Linked DNA regions of Saccharomyces cerevisiae S288C. The protein of the gene in region 1 interacts with the protein of each later gene in a biochemical or structural test. Each region holds a gene or a part of one and is shown on either strand. Other genes may lie near its edges.

The links. The genes of interacting proteins can lie anywhere in the genome.
Region 2: of the proteins of CDC5 (region 1) and NUD1, one has a biochemical effect on the other in vitro, tested with the Saccharomyces cerevisiae proteins (3 studies listed by BioGRID, with this or other methods).
Region 3: of the proteins of CDC5 (region 1) and BFA1, one has a biochemical effect on the other in vitro, tested with the Saccharomyces cerevisiae proteins (7 studies listed by BioGRID).

Annotation. Positions count from the first base shown.
Region 1 is NC_001145.3:268,459-272,686, reverse strand, and holds CDC5 (polo kinase CDC5), read left to right. Parts: upstream 1-1,550; coding exon 1,551-3,668; downstream 3,669-4,228. Other genes in the region: MIX17 (Mix17p), read right to left, coding at 24-494; YMR001C-A (uncharacterized protein), read left to right, coding at 1,110-1,340. UniProt on the Saccharomyces cerevisiae protein: Protein kinase required for the cell cycle where it is involved in mitotic exit. A component of the fear (CDC14 early anaphase release) network which promotes CDC14 release from the nucleolus during early anaphase. Phosphorylates SCC1/MCD1 and NET1.
Region 2 is NC_001147.6:1,035,146-1,039,949, forward strand, and holds NUD1 (Nud1p), read left to right. Parts: upstream 1-1,688; coding exon 1,689-4,244; downstream 4,245-4,804. Other genes in the region: NDD1 (Ndd1p), read right to left, coding at 1-1,326; aldehyde dehydrogenase (NADP(+)) ALD4, read left to right, coding at 4,695-4,804. UniProt on the Saccharomyces cerevisiae protein: Involved in astral microtubule organization by binding SCP72 to the outer plaque in a cell-cycle dependent manner. Required for the mitotic exit by facilitating the binding of TEMP1 to CDC15.
Region 3 is NC_001142.9:532,237-536,311, reverse strand, and holds BFA1 (Bfa1p), read right to left. Parts: upstream 2,286-4,075; coding exon 561-2,285; downstream 1-560. Other genes in the region: KCH1 (Kch1p), read right to left, coding at 1-256; UV-damaged DNA-binding protein RAD7, read right to left, coding at 2,553-4,075. UniProt on the Saccharomyces cerevisiae protein: Part of a checkpoint which monitors spindle integrity and prevents premature exit from mitosis. This cell-cycle arrest depends upon inhibition of the G-protein TEM1 by the BFA1/BUB2 complex.

The sequences.
Region 1 (4,228 bases):
TCTAAATTTTTGAGCTTTTAAACTTAGTATTGACGTGCAGCTTCCTGGCAGGCTTTTAGTTGCTGCAAGTAATAATCACATATCTGGAAGTTGCCGTTGTTTTCATCCAAACAACGTGTAAAGTTTCTCGCGTCTATTTCACAAGTTCTTCCCAACTGCTGGTCCGTTTGGGTTTGGCCGGAGGTGTTGGCCATATTTTGCTGTTGTTGCTCAACAGGAGCGGAATCAGACCCGGATCCGGAAAACATACCGGTAATACCTGCACCTAGGGTGTGTCCAATGGTGCTACCAACGGCAACACCTGCAGCAGTGGAGGCCATCTGCGCAAACATACCTGGCTGTCTCGTTTGGGCACCTGCAGCAGGAGGGTGTGAATAGGCATTTGGTTGTTGTTGTTGTTGTGGATGAACTGGAGCCGCCATGGTAGAAGCGGACCTTGTCTGAGTAGGTCTCGATCTCGATATAGGTCTTGATGATCCTCTTGAACGTGCCATATTTTAGAATTTTGTTGCTGTTGTTGCTTTTCTTGTTCTGTTCTTTGTTCGAAATATTAATCCTTTTTCTTAAAGGTTATAAACTGTACGAGTGATAGGCTTATATAGGTCGCGGAGATTGCGGTGGAGTGAAAAAGCGCTTTTCTTTTATACCTTTGTTCAAGGTGGCGTTTGCCGTATAAAAGCACACATGACATAACCGAACCTCGGAAAATGAAGTTGCACTGTTATTGCCTTCCAGATGTGTAGAATCATCACCATCTTCTGTGATAAATGAAGAGGGAATCGTACGAGGACGCCAGCATATTTTTACATCAAAATTTATGTTATTGTTGAAGGAACATTGAAAAGATAGGGCGGGCAAAATCTGCGATCAAGCCTATCCTCTTTCATCTCAGCTGTTCTAGATGCGTTACCCGGTGGTAACTTCACTGCATATTATTACTTTATATACCTTATTCTATATGTTGCCCGGGTAGGGCATTATGTAGCATCACCCGGAAGAACTTTTGGACTTTTCTCTGTCAAAAGATATTACCTAAAAGGGTCAAAACAAAACAAACCCAATAAAGAAAATCCAAAATATAGAACGAATAAATATCTCGAGGACCTGGGATGATCTTTGAATGTACATCCTTTGAAACAAGGCATATCTTGAACAGTTACTCTTGTGCTACTCAACTTTCGTACAATACATATAGAATCACTGAGAAAGTAAATCCAATTCAAGCGGCAGTTTCAAAGAACAATAAGCCTTTTGTGTCAAATTCTGATTCTGCTTTTTTTCCTATTTTTTCATCCTTCAATTTTGTGGCATATACTACATTAACTTTCAAGAAAACTTAAAAAAGAAAAGACAAAAAAGCTAAACTGCATAGTCAAGTTTGTATAATTGAGCTGAGTATTATTTTTTGTACACAAAAACATTGGCTTTCTTATATCTTCTCTATATATACTCTCTTTCATTCATCGATAAACGTTACATTTGTTATTCATAGAGAATAAAAATCACAGCCGTGGAGAAGAAAGAACAGAGTAAGATCAAGTCGAATAAAGATGTCGTTGGGTCCTCTTAAAGCTATCAATGATAAGCAATTGAATACCCGTTCCAAGTTAGTTCACACCCCAATAAAGGGAAATACCGCAGACCTCGTAGGAAAAGAAAATCACTTTAAACAAACAAAGAGACTAGATCCGAATAATGATCATCACCACCAGCCAGCTCAAAAAAAGAAAAGGGAAAAGTTATCAGCTTTGTGTAAAACACCACCTTCATTAATCAAAACAAGAGGAAAAGACTATCACCGAGGTCATTTTTTAGGTGAAGGTGGATTTGCTCGCTGTTTCCAAATTAAGGACGATTCAGGCGAAATTTTTGCTGCCAAAACAGTTGCTAAAGCCTCAATTAAATCAGAGAAGACAAGAAAAAAGTTGTTGTCGGAGATTCAAATTCATAAAAGTATGTCCCATCCAAATATCGTTCAGTTTATTGATTGTTTTGAGGATGATAGCAATGTCTATATCTTATTGGAGATATGCCCCAACGGTTCATTAATGGAATTACTAAAAAGAAGAAAAGTTTTAACAGAACCAGAAGTTAGATTTTTCACCACTCAAATATGTGGTGCAATTAAGTATATGCATTCAAGAAGAGTTATACATAGAGATTTAAAACTTGGTAACATCTTCTTCGATTCAAACTATAACTTAAAGATTGGTGACTTCGGTCTGGCAGCTGTGTTGGCGAATGAAAGTGAACGTAAATACACCATATGCGGAACACCTAATTACATCGCACCTGAAGTGTTGATGGGTAAGCATTCTGGACATTCATTTGAAGTAGATATTTGGTCATTAGGTGTTATGCTTTATGCTTTGTTGATTGGTAAGCCACCCTTCCAAGCAAGAGATGTAAACACTATTTATGAAAGAATCAAATGTCGTGATTTTTCGTTTCCAAGAGATAAACCAATCTCAGATGAAGGTAAGATTTTAATAAGAGACATTCTATCCTTAGATCCAATAGAAAGGCCCTCTTTGACTGAAATTATGGATTATGTATGGTTTAGGGGAACTTTCCCACCATCTATTCCTTCGACGGTCATGTCAGAAGCACCAAATTTTGAGGATATTCCTGAAGAGCAGTCACTGGTTAACTTCAAAGATTGCATGGAAAAATCTCTACTATTAGAAAGCATGAGCAGCGATAAAATTCAGCGTCAAAAGAGGGATTATATTTCTTCAATTAAATCTAGTATCGATAAACTAGAAGAGTACCACCAAAACAGACCATTTTTACCACATTCTTTATCCCCTGGCGGGACGAAACAGAAATATAAGGAGGTTGTTGATATAGAGGCACAAAGAAGATTAAACGATTTGGCTCGTGAAGCAAGGATACGTAGAGCACAACAGGCCGTTTTGAGAAAAGAATTAATAGCTACATCGACCAATGTCATTAAATCAGAAATCTCCTTGAGAATATTAGCCAGTGAGTGTCATCTTACTTTGAATGGCATTGTAGAAGCAGAAGCTCAGTATAAAATGGGAGGTCTTCCGAAATCAAGATTGCCTAAAATTAAACACCCAATGATAGTTACCAAGTGGGTCGACTACTCCAACAAACACGGATTCTCCTATCAGTTATCAACAGAGGATATTGGTGTCTTATTTAATAATGGCACCACAGTTCTCCGATTGGCAGATGCAGAAGAGTTTTGGTATATTAGTTATGACGATCGGGAAGGTTGGGTAGCAAGTCATTATTTATTGAGCGAAAAACCACGAGAGCTAAGTAGACATTTAGAAGTAGTTGATTTTTTTGCCAAGTACATGAAGGCAAATTTGAGCCGAGTATCTACGTTTGGCAGAGAAGAATATCATAAAGATGATGTATTTTTGAGAAGATACACAAGGTATAAACCATTTGTTATGTTTGAACTAAGTGATGGTACTTTCCAGTTCAATTTCAAAGATCATCATAAAATGGCAATATCCGACGGAGGTAAATTGGTGACCTACATTTCTCCCTCCCATGAAAGCACCACATATCCCTTAGTTGAAGTACTAAAATATGGCGAGATCCCAGGATATCCAGAAAGTAACTTTAGAGAGAAACTAACTTTGATAAAGGAAGGTTTGAAGCAGAAGTCCACAATTGTTACCGTAGATTAAACCAATATTAAAGTAGAAAGAAATACGAATACGAAATTACCAGTCCATTGATTGGGCCCCATTAATAACTAATACTAAATAAAATAAATGGTCTTGCCCTTAACGAAGATAATATATAATATTTACCCCTAGCATTAATACCCTTTTTCTAAAGGTACGAAATGAACAAACATCTTTCATGTTAGTTCTTCCTTTTCAATAGTTCTCATATAGCGTTTTTTTTCGCCTGAGCGGTTCTAGAGCTATATCTATTCAAAATTGCCATGCTTTTGTATTCATATTGTATGTATGGGATGATAACCTGTCGCTTCCTGAGATTTTCTCAAAAATATTGTTTTGAACCTAGATTTCTTTTTAATTATTCTTACAGGTGCCCATTGGAAGAGTGACAACATTAATTTTGAAAGCTATTCACTTGGTACATCCGCGGTTTACCAATTTTTAAGTTTTATCAAAAGCTGGCTTACTTGACATGTATCTACAAACTTAAGAATACTATTATGGGCAGTTATTTGCTAATTCTTTGTTACCTAGTTAAAATCCAAAAAATCCTGATTTAT
Region 2 (4,804 bases), on another chromosome or scaffold:
CGTATCACTTCTAAAAGACCCCATCTTGGGTAGCTCAGGAATTTGTAAGGCAGATGTACCTGTGGTTGTACTATGCAAAGAATTACAATTTGGTGTTGGTGATAAAGGTAATCTTGTCAACCCCAAATCAAACAATTGGTCATCCACATTGGAATCCAGAATGTTATCTGATCTCGAAGCTAACAAGGGAATTCTAGAGTTATCCAATTTGGAGATAGATTTAGTTATTGATGAATTTAATTGGATGGTAGTCGGTGAAGAGCCGTATATGTCCTGTTTATTTTCGTTGTCCTTAGTTAGTGTGCTAGTGCTATTGATGGTATCCTGGGGGGTTTTAATAAATAATTTTTTATTGTTAGATCTTAGCGGCGTTCTCTGTAAGATGTTGTTGGCATTTTCCAGCCCTATGGATGTTGCATTAGTGGTAATATCCTTTCTTGCCTTCTGAAAATCCACTAACGCGCTGTTAGACGATATCAATGCTTTTGCATAAGGTGTACCGACGTCATTCAGAATTTTTCTTCCATATGGTGTCAACGACAGGGAGGAGAACCTTTTTGATGGAGATGTCGGCAGCGGTTGATTGAACATGAGATTCATGTCAATCTTACTCAGAGGAGTGCGTGAAAATGCGCCGGTGCATGAAGATGAGGGTGTTTTTCCATTACTCTTCAAAAGATTGTTCAAATCGACATTGCTAAAAACATTCTGTTGTTGACCTGGGTTCTCTGTGGTGCTTTGCTGAGCACCGTTAGAATCTGTTACAAATCGAAGTGGTGTCTTTGCCGGAGTTTTGTGAAAGAAATTGAAATTGGTGGACGGAGAGTCCAACAAAAATTCTTTGAATTGCTCTGGGGATGCAACCAAAAATTCGCTGGGTAAAGAGTTGCCGAACTGCAAAACAGAAGAAGGTTGAACGTTGATATCGTCCAAAGTCTCACTTGTATCTGTCCTTGTGACAGCAGGAGGTACAAGTGAACCTAGAGCTTGCTGTTGTTGTTGTTGTTGTTGTTGTTGTTGTTGTTGCTGTTGTATCTGCTGATGATGCGGTAATATACTGTTCTCTACCAACGACGATTCGTTGCTCGAACTGTTGTGAGCGTCTGTATTGGCAAAATGATCTTGAGTCTGTTGATACTGATTAGAAGAATAGGGCGTGGGGAATTGAGTCGTTGTAGGTAACGGACTGTTAAAATTATATTTGAATTCTGACATTACCTTCAAAAAATTTGTATCTGCATTATTGTCCGTAGAGGGCTGTCTTGAGGAAGTTGCAGTTGCCCCAGTTGAGGTATAATTTTGCTGGTAGCTTATATCTCTGTCCATAGTTGGAATCAATGCTCTATTCTGACCAATTTATTCCAATTTGGACACTTTTTCCACCCACAATGCCGATGCCAAATATTCAGAAGATCCTTGCAGCTCCTTAAGGCTCTGTCCTATTTGTTTTGTTTTGTTCTTGTTTTGTTGTTTTTTTTTTTTGCGTCCCGTTTCTTTTCGCGAGGAGGGTTACGCCAAACGCCAAAAGGCTTATGCGGGTAGTGACCTAAACTTGTTTACTGGAATGCTATTAACGATGCACAACAGATAATGAATAAATACAGATGAGTATCTAGGATGCCAGAAGTGTTCAACAATATTCAGGTGAAAAAATTGCCGACTAGGTTGAATAGTAAAAGCATACCGAAATGGATATGGATACGCAGGAGGCAGAACTATCGAGCCAGCTGGAGAATCTTACAATAAATTCACCACGAAAGCTACGCTCGAACGCGCACAGTAACAGTGGTAAAGTGTTTAAGGAATATGAAAGTAACCACGATTTTCAAGATTCAAATTTTACTTCCCAAGTTGTGGAACCTGCAATATCCGATTCTGTCAAAAAACCTCCTACAATGACAGTTTTGAACAACTATAGCACGGTGCATCAGAAAGTGCCGTCAGGTTTTTCAGGCACGACTGCTACATCTCATCAAGAAGCTCAATGGAAGCAGTATTTCCCTGGTATTGGTAGCGGCGGTGGTACCAACTTTGGTGGCGCTGTTGGTACTGCAAACAAAGTTCCTGAATCGGATCTCATTGTGAGCGACTTGGTTAAGGATTTATCTGGAGTTCTTGAAACAAATACATTTAAAAGACATTTAGATATGAAGAATAAAACTACTACTATGCAGACCCATGAAAACCATGATACGATTAGTATTTCACATTCTAAAGATTTCTTTAACGCTGAGAAGGTCTCATCGTCGTTTTCTGATGACAGCGATTCTGGCCCAGCAGCTGAGGCACATGATGTATTTGATGGCATATTACAAAAGCAAAAATCGAATTATTTGGTGGGTTCTTATCCAAGTAATAGCAACAACAAAAACAATAATAATAATAATAATAATAATAATAATAATAGTATTAATATTAATAATAAGGATAACGCTAGAACGAAGGAGGAGGACGAAGAGGACACTTCCAATTCTTTTGAATTTTCATCATCGTCATCCATGTCGTCCTCTCAAACTCAATCAGGCAGAAAATCAAAAGTTCTCAAGAAACCTCCATTGAACACTATTTCACCCGGTCAATTGGGATATCAGTTTAACCATACACACGGCGCATGGGATCCGCCGCTGAACCAGGGCTTAGATGTGTCGAGTTCACATTCTCTGGACAATACATCTTCCAACCAGTCCCAGTTCGCCACAATGGTACCAACTGGAGATAATCACACTAACGGTAAGGCACCTTCAATTCTAGATAAGAAGGCGTATGAATTAACCAGTACCAAACCAGGTGATGTTGGCTACCGCCAAAAGAAAATACAAGAAGAAGAAAATCTAGCAAATAGCGATGACACGCCCCTAGACACACCAAAATTTAATGACCTTTTTACGAAAAATGGCACTAGAGCGAAGGTTAAAGGACAAATGCGTACCTCTCGTTCAATCTCTAATTCCAATCTACTAGAAGCTCACAAGAAACTAAAGACCTTCCCCGCTGAACGGGTTGAAGATATTACGTCCATTTCCGAAGTAAACACCTCGTTCAACGAAACTGAAAAGCAGCTAATATCAATCTTGACTAGTAAACTATCTGGTTCTCCAAGCTATGATTCCGATTGGGAAAAAATCCTGAAAGTTGACCTATCAAGGGGCAAACTGAAGAATATGTTTGGCATGCAAAGACTACTACCGAATGTATTAGTGCTAAACCTTAGTGACAATGAAATGAACACTCTAGAAGGTATACCCTCGAACGTTGTACAGCTATTTTGTTCAAACAACAAAATAACGAGCGCACATTGTTCATTAGCCGGATTCCACGATCTGGAATGCCTCGACTTATCGTACAACCTCTTGAATACAAGTTTAAAATTTTTGTCACTTTGTCATCACCTGCAAGAGGTGAACCTTTCTTACAACTCCATCCAATCCTTAGAAGGGATAGGATCCTCCAGGATGAAAAAACTGAACCTTTCTAACAACGAGATTAATGGTATCATCGATTTCGAACAATTGATACTAACAAACAACTCTGTCGTGGGCGGCTGGTTGACCGTGGAAGTCTTAGATCTAAGCAACAATAACATAATTGGCGTAAGAAACATCAATTGCTTGCCCCGCCTGAAGGTTTTAAACCTCAATGGTAACCCGCTAGTTTCCATCGTGGAATCTTCTAAGATGGAGAACGGAACGTTGAGAGCGCTTTCCATCAAAAATACAGGAGGCGCGCTATCCAAATTACAAAATTACAAGTTGGATGATCAATTCACGTTCCCCTACCAAAATCTAAAGATTCTAAAACTGGACGGCTTCGCTCAACTTAGCAAATGGCAAAAATGGCCTGCCACTTTGCAAATTCTGGAGATCAACGGCGGCCTGGCCTCCTCTTTGCCGCGATTCTCTTCTCTAAAATCCACCAACTTATATTCTCTAACTATAGCTAATGTTAGAGACTTCACACACTTACCAGTGGACCTCTCCAAGGAACTACCGTTCTTGCAAGAGCTACATCTGCCAGGCAACAACCTACAAAACGCACACAAGTTAACAAAAACTCTCCCACGCCAATCAGTAAAATTTCTTGATCTACGAAATAACCCAATCACGACACCACGCCACGATCGCGCCAGCACGAGCTTGCATTACCGGCAGTTGCTCCAGCTTGCTGGCCTCTGCCAGCAGCAATGTCCCGCCCTGGCGACCCTCTGGTTAGATGACACTCCTGCCCCAACTGCCACGAATCTGTAACCCCATAACTATACCCGTACGCAGTACTAAAAATGTATGTAATTAGTAAATGTATGTAACAATTTCACCGTTTTGTGTAACAATTCATTCATTCATTCTTTTGATCCTTTAGTACCGTCCGCACATGATGTCATTTCCCCCTCATTTTTGTTTGCTGGTATGATTCCCCGCCCGGGCGACGGTACGGCTGTTATCCAGCGATGCGGGACTTCCGTCCACAGGTATCTTTTTCTCCAACTCCAACAGAGATGGAAAATGAGGGGCGGGTGTAGGTAAGCAGAATGAGGAGAAATTTGTAATGAAAATGGAAGTTCGGCGGTTATATAAATGGGGGGGGTTTGTCGGTGACAATTGACTTCACTCTCCTTTCCTCAAAAATTCTTGGGTGTTAGGATTAGAAGTATCTGGAAAACCAACCAAGAAAACTACAATAACAAAAATAAATAAAGCATGTTCAGTAGATCTACGCTCTGCTTAAAGACGTCTGCATCCTCCATTGGGAGACTTCAATTGAGATATTTCTCACACCTTCCTATGACAGTGCCTATCAAGCTGCCCAA
Region 3 (4,075 bases), on another chromosome or scaffold:
AACCGCTAAACAACCATTTGGATATTTTAAAGGGTAAGTATGGTTTGATGATGTTGTTTGACCAGGAGTTGAATGCCAGCAATTTGATACATGTGTAAATGTCAGAAACAAAAAGGGCGAGTTTTAATCCATTCCACCCAACTACACCTATTATGTAATTTAAAACAGTTTTGAACTTGTGGTTTCGAAATAATTCAATGTTTAAATCGGCGAAAGTCTTAGAATTAATGGAGTACTTCCAATCATGGTTAAACATTTTTGATTTTCTGTTCCTGCTAGTCAAATATTCATGAAATTACCAAAGTGTTTGCTAAACAAACCATAAAGATCTGTTTTAATAATCATCAAGGGCTCTTTTGTTTGAAATGTTAATGTGTCCCTCATGGTCTATTTTCATTTGAAACATCTATTCGAATTTTCTGCAACATTTCTTTTTCTGTCAGACGCGAAATGTCGGCGAAAAGTTGACACGATTCAAGGTTCTATCTAATTTTGGAATGTAAGAGAAATGAATGTACTCAAGATAACGGTAAAGAAACAGTTATAAGAAGGCTAAAGGGCTAATCTTTTGTCGAATTGATTACCATGTTCCTGATTTCATACATATAGGATTTTCTCTTGCTATTGACCGTACTTTCATCCATGATTGTTTCCTCATCAACACTGATAATGGTCTCATCTCGGGGTATAAACCATGAGGCTAACTTTTTACACCACCTGTTCTCCTCGTGGTAAAATTTTTCCAATGCTCTTGAACTCAAATGGAAAGTAGAGCTTATTTCTGGAGTTTCTGTTGTACCGTTAAGTGTCCTCATTGAATGGTATTTACGGAGTCTTGCTTGAGCAGCCGTACTTTGATAAACGCCATCATTGTCATTTGAAACAAATGGCGTATTAACTTGGCTTTTGGAACGCAAAAATGGTGAGGAGCTACGTTTTTTCATACTTTTGCCAACTGGTGGTAAGTTTATCTCAGGAATGCCTGCAAAAGGGTCTGCTTCTTCCTCTGAAACACTAACCCATCTTAAATTTTGTTCATCTAAAATCATGTTCCCGATGACCTTTTGATTTCTCGAAGTGGCTCTTGCATGCTGTAGATCAGAATATTTTTGCTTCTTAGAATCTGCATCTCGTTGTAGCTTGTTTTTTATCAATAAAGCTTTCCTGTTTGCCGTGTCTACATCACTAAATTTGCTTAAGACGTTTTCATTTCCTTCCCACTTCATAGTTTTCGGGTTATATATCATAGAACCTTTCTTCATTGGAGTATTATGATCAATTTGCTGTTTTATTGTTTTGATTTTAGCTGGACCATTGAGTTGTACATTTTGATTAGAACAGTGTCTTACTGATCGTTTTTCTTTAAAAGAGTCCAGTTCCTGCTGGGTATTCCAATCTCGTTGTCGCCTATGAAGACCTGGAGTTAATAATTCGTCATGCTTTACTATATCATATTGTGCAGGTGATATTTTTAATGGCAAAGATGAGGATGACTTCTTTAAGAAACGCGGATGGTCGGCACTTTCTTTATCGTTCGAAGAAATCGTTTCATCAATTGCTTCACCCTCTAATTCTTCAAATCCTGTCAGAAAGTCACCTTCATCATCTGAACTGAATTTCGCCAAAATTGTGTCCTGCGTATCGTTATCAATCTTGTAATTAAACTCTCGTTGATCTTCTCTTTCTCGTTCTTCGTCCTCTTCTTCTTCTCTGATAGCTGGATTAACTAAAGCTAAGTTAGGCATAGATTTCTTAAATCTTACAGAATTACCAGACCTTAAGTTTCTTGAAGTGACGCTATTTGATAGTTTTCTTTTTGGTTTCAATTCCATCATTGATCTAGGTTGCTTTAGCCTTGGTTTATCTTCCAAACTCAGTTTTCTATCAAACTCTTCTGCGAAAATGTCGTTTTTGAAAGGGCCAGTTCGACATCCATTTCTCAAATGAAAATTTGTTTTAATAGCATCGTCAAAATCATCCTTTTTATTTTGGAATTCCTGGAAGTCATTTAGAAATTCATCATCCTGGTCTACCTCCATGTCCTGATCATCGTCTGCTTGCTTATTAGACCAAAACGCGCTGGTACTATTGGAAAATACCGTGCCAGTGTCAGAAGTACCTACCGAGGATGGAGGCGGTATATAAGTTGATGTACTCAATGGTGGCACGTTTTCTTCCAAAGTTAATGTTTCATGGGATTGAAAGCGAGGTAGAGTTGTATTCAGTTCTTCAAAAGAGGTTTCTGGCTCATCTAAACCGTTTAACGTGAGAGGCCTAATTGACATAGCATACAAAACTTTCAACTGCTACAAAAGTTTTCGAACTTTTTTCTTTACGTCAAACTTCTCGTTTTTTTCCTTTTATCTGCGCTGAATACATAAGTTTACACTTTTTTTTTTACTATTATTGTTTGTTTATTATTCGCGAGATGCCATAAAATCCCTTCAATAGAAAATAAAGGCAACATTTGACGATCTGAGTATAATAGGAATAAAAACATTAGTCAATTTTCCGTTTTCTATCTAATACACGTTTTATATGTCTTTATTTTATTATATACTGTCACTCTGTCTCCCTATCAACGTAAGTCCAGGCCTCATTGTGGCCTTTTCAGTAACCAAATTGTCTCCGAAAACATCAATTACAGTTAAATTCGGATTTTGCTCACCCAACATTTGAATCACCGAGTCATCAACACAACGTACAAAACCAAGATCAAGATACGTCAGATTAGGACAGGCTAACGCCACAAATGCCTCCTTAGTTAGCTCTTTTAATGAATTGAGATTTAAGCTTCTCAGACTATCTCTTGCTCCGTTAAGCAATAGCTCTATAATTGCCATATCGCCCAATTGTAGACATCTTCTAAAGCTGCATTCAATCAAATTATTCAGTTCTACTTTGCTGAAAAAGTACGACAGTGAATCTGTAGTGATCTGATCTGATTCTTCCAAGCTCAATACCTCCAATGGACATTTCTCAGGAATGAATGCAGTCAGACCATTGATTATCATTGAATCTGTCAAGTCAATACAGCCATTCAAAACCAATTTACGTAACGTGCGCCCGATTTGACCTAGCAGATTTATGATGATCTCATCGTTAACATCCTCTTCATTGAATGGATATTCAATACAGAGACTGTGAAATTCGTCGTTGACTAGGTACTGCGGTAATAAAGCGTAATTTGATATAGAATCTAGTCTGGATAACCCTAAGGATACCAAGGTAGAACCGCAGTTGATCAATAAATTAGATAATGATTTGTCGGTGAAGCGGTGCGTATTAGAAATGTGGAACTCTTCTAATCTACCTTTCATTATTACAAAGAACTTCTCCCATGTGTCCTCGTTGATCAGAAATGGTCCATCTAAATTCAGTGATTTCAAGTTCGGAAGCTTTTCAGCAATGTAAAGCAATGATTCATGGTTCAACTGCCCACACATTTGTAGGGATAATTCGGTTAGGTGTGGCGAAAAAATGGCTAGCGTTTTGTAACCATCAAATGAAATTTTAGAACAATCGCTGAAAGTTAACCTTTTTAGATCTGTCTTCAAGAAAAGTTGCAGAGTATGATCATTCAGGGCCCTATTCTTCGATAGTGCTTTTGCCAAATTATTCAAATTAGCGGTTGATACGCCACCAAGGACATCTCTCAATTTGTTAAATACCAACTTTGATGATTCATCAGCCTCTTTTTGCCACTTGGATATATTTTCACTAATTTTCGTAATACAAAGACTTTGTAAGCTGGATACTTTGTTGACGCGTCTATCCAATAGGTCAGCTGCTCTTTTACGCTTTCTGCGACGATTTTGGATAATTTTTGCAGTATTTTGCCTTTTTTTAGTCAATGATTCCCGGTCATTAGCCGAACTTAAACTGACTGGCGTGTCAGAAATGTGGCTAGTTTCATATTCTTCTTCATCACTATCAGCAGGGACTAATTTCATCCTGGCATCGTAGGAAACCTGAGCTCTTTCTGTCTCGGTACCACTACCTGTTCCAATTTCATCAATTTCTTCATCTTCAACTACTCGAGATATCTCGGCAGTAAAGCTATCATCCTCCGCTT